2 linked regions of the Arabidopsis thaliana genome follow. The protein of the gene in region 2 interacts with the protein of the main gene of each other region in a pairwise test. Each region holds a gene or a part of one and is shown on either strand. Other genes may lie near its edges.

Region 1 (6,290 bases), on a different chromosome or scaffold from region 2:
TGACAGCTTCTTATATGATTAGATCGAGGCAAAATAATGTATACTCTACAAAAGAAGTCAATAACTTTCCATTAGATTAATTGGGATTCAACCATACGACTGTACGTGTTATGTATGTTACACTTCTATATTCGTATAGTATATTAATCACATATTCACACGATATCAAAATGAATAACTAGCGAGTTAATCTAAGATAGATTCAACGAATTAAATTGAATATCAACTGTAGAAGAACTGAAACTTTGAATACCGACCGACGAACGTGACATAATAAAAGCCACACAGTAGAACAATTTCTTAAAAAAATATCATCATGTGGTTACAAAACATTATCACCTGGTTCATTACTTAATTTCATTCGCGATGACGATTATAGTTGATGGTCGATCACAGTTAATATACAGATACAATTAATTTGGATTAGTACTAGTATAGTTTTTTTTTAAAGAAGGAGATAAACATAACTAATCATTTGGTCTTTTACGTGGGTATCACATTAAATCCATACAACGTAGTGCACGCCGGTACACCTTTTCTAAAATATTATAAATATATTTAAGAATTACTATAGTCTATATAGGCTCAATCAAATGTGTCGATCGCTTGAGTCCTTTTGTTTTTTAACGTTACTAAATAGTACTAGTAGTAAATTCACTCTTACAAAACCGTTAGGTGAATTTACCTTTATTCTAACAATAACTATAGTTTAAACAAATTTCAATGATGAAAAGCGGTCGACGAAGTTTCTAACTGCAATTTGCTTCTGAAAAAATCAGAGTAACCAAAACAGAATTCGTTAATTTTTACACGCACGCTTAAATGCGTGTCGACGAGTAAACGAGCACGTATACATCAAACTTGCCGGATTTTTTTTGTTTTGTGATGAGTTCACATGTAAACGATAGTGACCTTTTTGTTATACCGAAATAGATCATAGACCAATTCTCAAACCAATCTCTAAAATGGTTAATGGTAGCCAATATGTCACATTCCTAGATTTCATATGTTCAACTTTTAAACGCTGTTAACATATAACGTATTCATATTTTCAAGTTATCAACAACGCAATATACATGTTTGATTATTTATATGTGGCTAATCGTGTTACTTCTTTTTTTTTGTTCTAAATTCAAATATGAAGATTTTTAGTGGAAAGAAGATATTGGCCCTTGACAAGTTGTTTATGATCTATTAAAGTTTTGTTTTTCCTTTTAATTGAATTTCCTCTATGTTTATCACAAAATAAAGAAAATGAGGAGTAAAAACAAATTCAGCAGAAAATAGTGAAACAAATGATTCATTTCCATATATAACCACAAGGAAAAAGAAAATTTCCCTATTCTAATAGTTTTGTTCCTCCTAATTACTCTGATTACATATATTTAAACTAAAACTGAAAAGTACACATATAGTAATCCGGTCAGGTGATTACTGTCTTTTTTTCAAGATTTTGGAAGTTTTACCCATTTTAAAGAAAATTTTGAATGCTGTTCTATTATAGTATTAACATCTGTTTAGTGAAGTCAAAACATTGGTCATAACAATGTGATTAAAGTTAACATCTGTTTAGTATTAACATTTTTAGGGCTGGTGGGCTTTTTGTGTCCACTTCCCGATGGTTACTGCAACTTTAATTGAATTTTACTATTTTACCCTACCCAATATTAAAGCTTTTTATTTATTTCTCTGCTTCTCTCTTTTGCTCTGTCTCTTTATCCTTTTTCTTTTGATGCTTCATTCTCTCTTTTCTTTTTTTTCCTCTGTAGCGTTTCTAGGAATCTCTCTCCAACGTTTAGGTTTCTTCTCAGATTTAGAAAGTTTCTTCTCTATCTGAAGAATTTTCATTTCGATTTCGCTTCTTCCTTCACCCTAATCCGTAATCGAATGCCATTTCGAAGATTGTGTTGAAGAGTAGAGAGGAAGAAGAAGACTAAGAAGCTAGGGTTTCTCTGATGAGTAGATGATGCGTGAACCGCTTGTTAGCGAAGAAGAAGAAGAAGAAGCTACTGAAGTTTTACTAGTGGAGAAGACGAAGTTGTGTAAGAGACGAGGAGACGAAGAAAAAACGGAAGAGAGAAGAGACGATTTGTTGTTACTAGCTTTAACGCCGATGGTACGATCGAAATCTCAAGGAACTACTCGGCGCGTCACTCCCACGCCACCTCCTGTTGACGTGGAGAAACCGTTACCAAACGGAGATCTCTACATGGGAACGTTTTCCGGCGGGTTTCCCAACGGATCCGGTAAGTATTTGTGGAAGGATGGGTGTATGTACGAAGGCGAGTGGAAACGTGGTAAAGCGAGTGGTAAAGGCAAGTTTTCGTGGCCGAGTGGTGCGACTTATGAAGGAGAGTTCAAATCTGGGAGAATGGAAGGATCTGGGACTTTTGTTGGTGTTGATGGTGATACTTATCGTGGCTCTTGGGTTGCTGATCGGAAACAAGGTCATGGTCAGAAGAGATATGCCAACGGAGATTACTATGAAGGTACATGGCGGCGGAATCTTCAGGATGGGAGAGGGAGATATGTTTGGATGAATGGGAATCAGTATACAGGAGAGTGGAGAAATGGTGTGATATGTGGTAAAGGTGTGCTTGCTTGGCCTAATGGGAATAGATATGAAGGTCAATGGGAAAATGGTGTTCCTAAAGGAAGTGGTGTGTTTACTTGGGCTGATGGAAGTTCGTGGATTGGTTCTTGGAATGAGAGTAGTAATCTCATGAGGAATTTCTTTGATGGGATTGAGAAGAATGAGTTGATTGTTGCGACTAGGAAGAGATCTTCGGTTGATAGTGGCGCTGGAAGTTTGACTGGGGAGAAGATTTTCCCTAGGATATGTATTTGGGAGTCTGATGGAGAAGCTGGGGATATTACTTGTGATATTGTTGATAATGTGGAAGCTTCTGTGATATACAGAGATAGGATTTCTATTGATAAAGATGGGTTTCGTCAGTTTAGGAAGAATCCTTGTTGTTTCAGCGGTGAGGCTAAGAAACCTGGAGAGACGATATCTAAAGGGCATAAGAAATATGATTTGATGCTCAACCTGCAGCATGGAATTAGGTAACTTCTTAGAAGCTTGAGGATCCCAATGTTTGGAGAGTTTCTGGATCTGTGTTTTTCTAACCAAGTTGTGAATTTTTAGGTACTCTGTCGGCAAACACGCTTCCGTTGTTCGAGATCTCAAACAGAGTGATTTTGACCCAAGTGAAAAGTTCTGGACAAGGTTCCCACCGGAGGGTTCTAAGACCACACCACCGCATCTATCTGTGGATTTCCGCTGGAAGGACTATTGCCCTTTGGTGTTTAGGTATTCAATCTTTTCATTTATATGCTGTTTATTTGATTCTGCATAGTTTGGTGATGTCTGCACACTATCTGGGTTTGGGATTAATATGTCTCCTTTGGTTTATTCTTTTGTTAGACGGCTTAGGGAGCTATTCACGGTGGATCCTGCCGATTACATGCTAGCTATCTGTGGAAACGATGCCCTTAGGGAATTGTCTTCGCCTGGAAAGAGTGGAAGCTTTTTTTACTTAACTCAAGATGACAGATTTATGATCAAGACGGTGAAGAAATCTGAAGTCAAGGTTAGTCGTTGGCTTTTGTCTTGACTTCTTCTGTCCTATTTGATTTCCTTTGTATTATTGTTTCTTAGCTTTCACTTTACATTCTTAATCATTTTGTCCACTAAGTGTGGTTACCTAAATAATTTTGACCTGAAGTTTTTTGTTTTCTTTATCCAGGTGCTTCTACGAATGCTTCCAAGTTACTACAAACACGTCTGCCAGTATGAAAATACACTTGTGACTAGGTTCTATGGTGTGCATTGTATCAAACCTGTTGGTGGCCAGAAGGTTTGTGTTGTTCATCTACATTTCATAAGACTCTTTGTTTCCAATGGACAATTTTTCTCATATTGTTTGCCATCTTACCAGACTCGGTTTATCGTTATGGGGAACTTGTTCTGCTCCGAATATAGAATCCAGAGAAGGTTTGACCTTAAAGGGTCTTCCCATGGACGGTATACCTCCAAACCTGAAGGGGAAATTGATGAGACCACTACTCTTAAGGACCTTGATCTCAATTTTGCTTTCCGTCTTCAGAGAAATTGGTACCAAGAGCTTATGACGTAAGCTGCCAAATTCCATCTAGTCTTATTCTTTATTTAATTTGGCTGTTTGAGTGCAAACACTTTGCTCAGCTGACTGGATTTCATTTACCAGGCAAATTAAACGCGACTGTGAGTTCTTGGAAGCTGAAAGAATAATGGATTATAGTCTTTTGGTTGGCGTTCACTTCCGTGATGACAACACAGGAGACAAAATGGGGTTATCTCCATTTGTATTGAGATCTGGTCAGTTAAACTTCTCGTTCTTCCTCAAGTATTATTCTGTGTAACTCGCCCATTTGGATGATATTCATTCATGTATTGTGCAGGTAAGATAGAGTCATACCAAAGCGAAAAATTTATGCGTGGTTGTCGGTTCTTGGAGGCGGAACTTCAAGACATGGACCGCATTTTAGCTGGCAGGTACGTGAATATTTATTCTCACCAATCATTACCTCAGGTTTAATCTCTAGCACAAGAAGTTGACCTAACAACTCATAGTCATTGGTAATTGCTGTGACAGAGAGTGGTTCAATCGTGTAGGTGTGATTTCATATGAGAACTACCTTACATCTCTAAGCATTATTGTATTAAAAAGTTGCTTGGCAATCTTGTGGGGGCTCTCAATTGAATAGAAAAACACAATGATATTGTGGGGGCAAGACAGATCATGTGGTCCTTTTTTGTTGTTAATTAAACTAGTTATTAGAGATCAATCAACTCTTTATCCATAGTTAAAACTCTCAACGTTTTGCTGAAAATTTGATTGCTTTTGCAGGAAACCATTGATTCGATTAGGCGCAAACATGCCTGCAAGAGCAGAACGAATGGCGAGAAGAAGCGACTATGATCAGTATTCCTCAGGAGGGACCAACTACCAATCTCATGGAGAGGTCTACGAAGTGGTTCTATATTTTGGAATCATTGACATTTTACAAGATTACGACATAAGCAAGAAGATCGAGCATGCTTACAAGTCTCTACAAGCTGACCCGGCTTCAATCTCTGCCGTTGATCCCAAACTATACTCAAGAAGGTTTAGAGATTTCATCAGCAGAATCTTCATCGAAGACGGCTAAAATGAAGGTCTACTTATATTAGCCCCATCATTGAAAGGTCAAACCTAAGCTCCTCGCTTTATACCTCAGATAAAAAAGAGGCTTGAAGACCCTGCGGCATTAGGGGCAAAAGGGTAATTGAAGAAGGGCGGAAATTGATTTGGGATTTTTTCAATTATAATATTTGAGAATGAACTGATCAAACAAATTTTGGGTGGGGGATTACTTATTTTTGTTTTGGAGGGTGAGAGGAAGATATATGTCATATGTGAATATAGATTTGTGAAGGAGAAGAAAAGTACATAGGCTTAGAGAAAAAAAAAATGGGTTTGGCAGATTTGGAAATGCATTGGGAATAAGATAAGTGTACAAGATTAATGAATAGGATGGGTGTTTTATTTTATTCCCATTTGCTATATAATTTCCCAATGTCTTTTTATTTGTTTAGAGTTCATTTTGTGATGGATGAAGTATTTTTTAAAATTGAGACAAAAGAAAAAGCTAAAGATTTTATCAAAAGAGGTCCCATATTCCCATGGGATCCCTCTTCTTCTTCACCATCCTTTTCACGTCTAAAGATACTTTGCCAAATTTTATTCAAACTCTATTTTTAGTCACATGTTTGTGTTTAACATATTTGGTATGTAGTAGTATAAAATTTCTCAAATTGTATATGGAAAATAATCAGGTATTTCTGATGATAGTTGTTCATATGTGGAAAATAAATCGACCACTGATATGCCTATACATAAATATATAGGAAGAAAAAAGAATAGTAGTATGTTAGATATATTAAGGATTTGACATGATGTTACTATGATTTATTTACAAAAAAAAAAAGTACATAAACATATACTATGGTCAAAAAAGTAGAGAGAGAGAGGTTGGAATTGAGGTTGTGTTTCCCATGAAAAGGAGAGAAAGCAAAGAGAGAAGACCACATGTATTCTTTTATAAACATCTCACATTACCCTTACTTTTTCATATTTAATTAATCTTAATTTTATATAATTTTAGAGTATGGGTTTTGTTGATGAGCAAGTAAAATATTGATGTGTATGTTGACTTATTTATATCTTCTAATCAGTAAGTCTTTACCACAACATGTATCTTTCAAC
Region 2 (4,190 bases):
GTTTCTTGAGTGTAGTGCTAGAACTCGACAAAACGTGGAACAGTGTTTCGAAGAGTTGGCTTTGAAGGTAAAGATCCTTAAATCTGTTTAAAAAAACGATTCGAAAAGAGAGATTCATATATAACATAGAGTGAATGTGATGAAACAGATAATGGAGGTACCTAGTCTCTTGGAAGAAGGATCAAGTGCTGTGAAGAGAAACATCTTGAAGCAGAAACCAGAACACCAGACTAATACTCAATCCGGCTGTTGCAGCTAGTGACCCTAGTCGATGTTGCATATAAAATACTCGAATCTTTATCTTGTGTATTGCAAACTGAACCTGATTCTTCTCTCTGTGGTTGCCTCTTTTGTGTGTAGAACATAATGTAGCTTCAATGTAAATTTGTGGGATTACTTGTATTCTTCTTTTGCTTCTGAAATGAGATTTGTGATAATAACATCATATAATAGAATAAACCCCATCAAGTGTTTTCTTAAATCCGTGTTTATTTTGGCTCAAACTATGGTTCTAGTAGAGAACAGCATTCACAGTGAATAAGATAAATCCTGATTTGAACAGTGAAGTCAGAGGTATACACACTACAACAGTTTCATTTTTATAAATTCAAAGTCTTTTTCACATAGTTTTTTGACCAACATAGTCTTCCATATCAGGAAGATCATTGTACAGGAATTATGGAGATAACAAATTAGACATAAAGATCACAACCATCAATGAGATTTCCTACTCGTTCTAGGTAACAACATGAGAATTATCTCTGATTTGAGACGTAAGAGATGAAAAAGATGGCCAGATATTTAAAAAACCCGGTGCAGGCGAAAAAGAGCAATCATACTCCTAAACGTAACTACAGCAAGCTGACTTCTCGGCTGTAGAAGACGATGCGGCAGTATCTTGTTTAGTGATCTTGATGCCTTGGGGCTGCAAAGTAACAAGAACAGTACATATGTTTATTACTCAGCTAAAATGTCGGTATAAGAATATGAAGATCGAGTATTAATGGTTGATTCCTGCAGTTCTTACCTCTGCCTTCGTGTCGGTTTCTGTCAATCTTTGTTTTATGTCTTTTGCGATTGACATGAAAACATTTTCGACATTGAGGTTTGTTTTTGCACTCTGCAACAATTGTAATCACATTAGTAACCTCAAGAGCATATTAATGAAAAACAGCAGACATGTTCTGTTTTTTATCTAGCTCACCGTCTCAAAGAATTTGATTCCATACTCATCAGCCAAAGCTTGGCCCTTTGCTGTTGGAACAGCCTGAACAAGAAGATCACAAATCAGTACACTATAATTAAACTCTTGAAAGTAAAGTATGCAACTAAAGATTACTTACCCTTTTGCTTTCATCCATATCAGCTTTGTTACCAACCAATATTTTGTTGACATTATCTGAGGCATGTTGCTCAATGTTCTTCATCCAGTTCCTAATATCTGTTTGAAACAGTCGTGTTCAGTTGCCACAAGTCTCACAATCCGATTTTCTCAATGCCATTGCAAAACAGTAACAAGACGAACAGAGAAGTAAAATACATACTGTTAAAAGATGACTCATCCGTTACATCGTAGACAAGCAATATACCCATCGCTCCCCTGTAATACGCTGCAAGGCAAAAAAAAGGGACCAAATGCTTTAAAGGAAATTGCAAAAACAAATTAATTGTCTTTTACTTCATCAAGACAAGACTGAAGAATCAATCAACCGATTCAATTAGTAGCAAACAACGTTAAAAATCCAGCTTATTACCTGTAGTGATAGTTCTGAAACGTTCTTGACCAGCAGTGTCCCAAATCTGCAATTTGATACGCTTCCCATCAAGTTCAACAGTTCTTATCTTGAAGTCAATACTGTAAAAAACACAAACTTAGACAACAAACAACAACAACATTTAAGACAAATCTTGAAGTAAACAGCAGAAGACATACCCAATGGTAGTAATGAAACTTGTAGTGAAAGTATCATCTGAGAATCGAAGTAACAAACAACTCTTCCCCACACCTGAAACATAAATATACACATAAAGCTAAAACAAACCATTTAACACAAAAAGAAGTAAATTTGTCAACGAATTCAACAATCTCTACTACTATTAGTAATTAGCACAAACAAAACAAAATCATAAAACCCTAATTAAGATCGGAAAAAAACAGACATGAGATAATCTCAGAAGATGAAATCAAACACTTTTGAGTTTTTTCAATTGCTAATTTGAGAACACATAAATGGATAAAGAAGCTAACCGCTATCGCCGATGAGAAGAAGCTTGATGAGGTAATCATAGTCTGAACGAGCTCTTGCCGGCGCAACCGCCATCGTCAGAAACGAGAAAAAAGCTCACTGACTTATTGATCTCTTTGCTTCTCGTGAAAAAACTAAACCCAGCTCTGCTTCTTCTTCTTCTTTTTTCCGACGAAAGATTGAAAATTTATTTTCTGGAGACAGCAAAAAAGCTAATGGAATGCTTCCTTCCAAAATGTCGCTCGCTGAAGAAAACAAGTTGATTAGCTGCTGAAAAATATTATTTTCATGTTTTTATAGTTTTTAGCCTCGAAACTTTCAATAGTTACAATTGACCCCACAACTAATTTGATTGTGGGATGAACTTATTAAGTTCTCAACTAAGAGGTTTCTAATCCGGTTTACACCTAGAATCCGACAAGAAATTGGATGGAAAATGAGAGATTTTTTGTTTCTTCACAACAAAACGTAAATCAAACCATTTAACTACAAAAATGATAAATAACTCAATTTCCGTAAATTTGTTATAAATTACTCAATTAGAATTGAAACTAAATCAAACTAAACCAAACAAAACAAAAAAAATATCAAACCAAACCAGATAATATTTGTCTTTTTTCTTTAAGAACTGGTTTAAATACTCGTTTCTACTTATCTAGGACTAGAGATTGCTTAATGGTTTAAATGAACAAAAGTCAAAATTTATAAATGATAGAGTGAATGGAGTAATATAAATGATTGGGGTGATTGTATGACATTTAGGAAAGTTCAGGGGGAAGAGGTAAAGGTAGGTTTGATATGATCAAGTGCGGTTGGTCTACAGTACACTAGTAGAATAATGTCGTTTATGGTGAGCTGTCAAGCAGTAAGTGGGTGAAAACGGTTGCTTCGCTGTATATACGTCGTACACTAGCGTAATCCAGCAAAGTATCCAGTCATGCCAGAGTCTCTGTTACATGTGGCATGGTTCAAGAAAAAGTCAAATTATATATTCATCCACACATATCTCTTAATCAAATTTAAGTCTTTATTAATTTGATGTTTATTTTTTTAATAATCCACTATCTATATACATTGATAAACATATTCTTACGAATTCAACATTGAATTTGTCACGCCTCTTTGCGTAAAATGATGTATAAACGCAGTATAAGAATTTATTTTCAAGATAATTCATAATAGTGAAACATAATTATTTTATCCCACCCAAGTGAATGAGTAATCGTTGTCAATTACACTACATGGGCTCGATGTTTTGTTTTATTACAAATGTAGATAGACATTTTGTAATTGTATATCTATTAAAATGCGACAAGGACAGCATTAGTTACAAGTCTCACCGACGTTTTTTTTTCAAAATGAACTAAACGTAGTGCTATTACTTTAAATGGATAAAACAGTTTGAGGGTACCACTCTCGTTTTCAATTTTATGTTCTGAGCTTTTCGATCGGAGCGATTATGGTTTTTCTGTCAACAATTTTTAGTGGAGATAAAAGGCATTATATATAATCCAATGTATTTGTAGAAGACATCGTTAATCACAGTATCACTTTTCCTATCAATCGTTTTCAAATGTCCTTTATTTCTATTTAAATGTTAGGAATATTCATTCGTTTTGTTAGTAGTAAGAAGTTGCACTTTCTCTACATATCATGTTCTTATTTTCAAAAGAAAGATATAGATGAGTCATTGAGTCATAAACTATATAAAGACATGACATGATCGATATAGAGATACCATTATACCATTAACAGTACGTAGCGTAGTAATAGCTCCTATTTCTAGAAGATGTTGTAGCATATATCATATCAATAAGTTTGTAACAGTTTACTGTTAGTTTCCCATACTACATAACATGATCATGAAGATTCGTTTGTTGCTACATGAATGTCTTGTGATATATGTCCAAAATCTCAAGACATCGGTCAGTATATTATCGTATT

What was found.
Region 1: the proteins of RAB8C (region 2) and PIP5K2 interact in a two-hybrid assay, tested with the Arabidopsis thaliana proteins (one study listed by BioGRID).

The regions. Positions count from the first base shown.
Region 1 is NC_003070.9:29,218,669-29,224,958, forward strand, and holds PIP5K2 (phosphatidylinositol-4-phosphate 5-kinase 2), read left to right. Parts: upstream 1-1,680; 5' UTR 1,681-1,963; coding exon 1,964-3,066; intron 3,067-3,148; coding exon 3,149-3,313; intron 3,314-3,427; coding exon 3,428-3,593; intron 3,594-3,749; coding exon 3,750-3,860; intron 3,861-3,941; coding exon 3,942-4,135; intron 4,136-4,229; coding exon 4,230-4,360; intron 4,361-4,443; coding exon 4,444-4,537; intron 4,538-4,892; coding exon 4,893-5,193; 3' UTR 5,194-5,758; downstream 5,759-6,290.
Region 2 is NC_003076.8:881,810-885,999, reverse strand, and holds RAB8C (RAB GTPase homolog 8C), read right to left. Parts: upstream 2,690-4,190; 5' UTR 2,322-2,689; coding exon 2,249-2,321; intron 2,007-2,248; coding exon 1,934-2,006; coding exon of another isoform or gene 1,930-1,933; intron 1,856-1,929; coding exon 1,755-1,855; intron 1,611-1,754; coding exon 1,545-1,610; intron 1,442-1,544; coding exon 1,344-1,441; intron 1,268-1,343; coding exon 1,205-1,267; intron 1,121-1,204; coding exon 1,028-1,120; intron 926-1,027; coding exon 842-925; 3' UTR 549-841; downstream 1-548. Other genes in the region: RABC2A (RAB GTPase homolog C2A), read left to right, coding at 1-67, 149-259. UniProt on the Arabidopsis thaliana protein: Involved in membrane trafficking from the Golgi to the plasma membrane.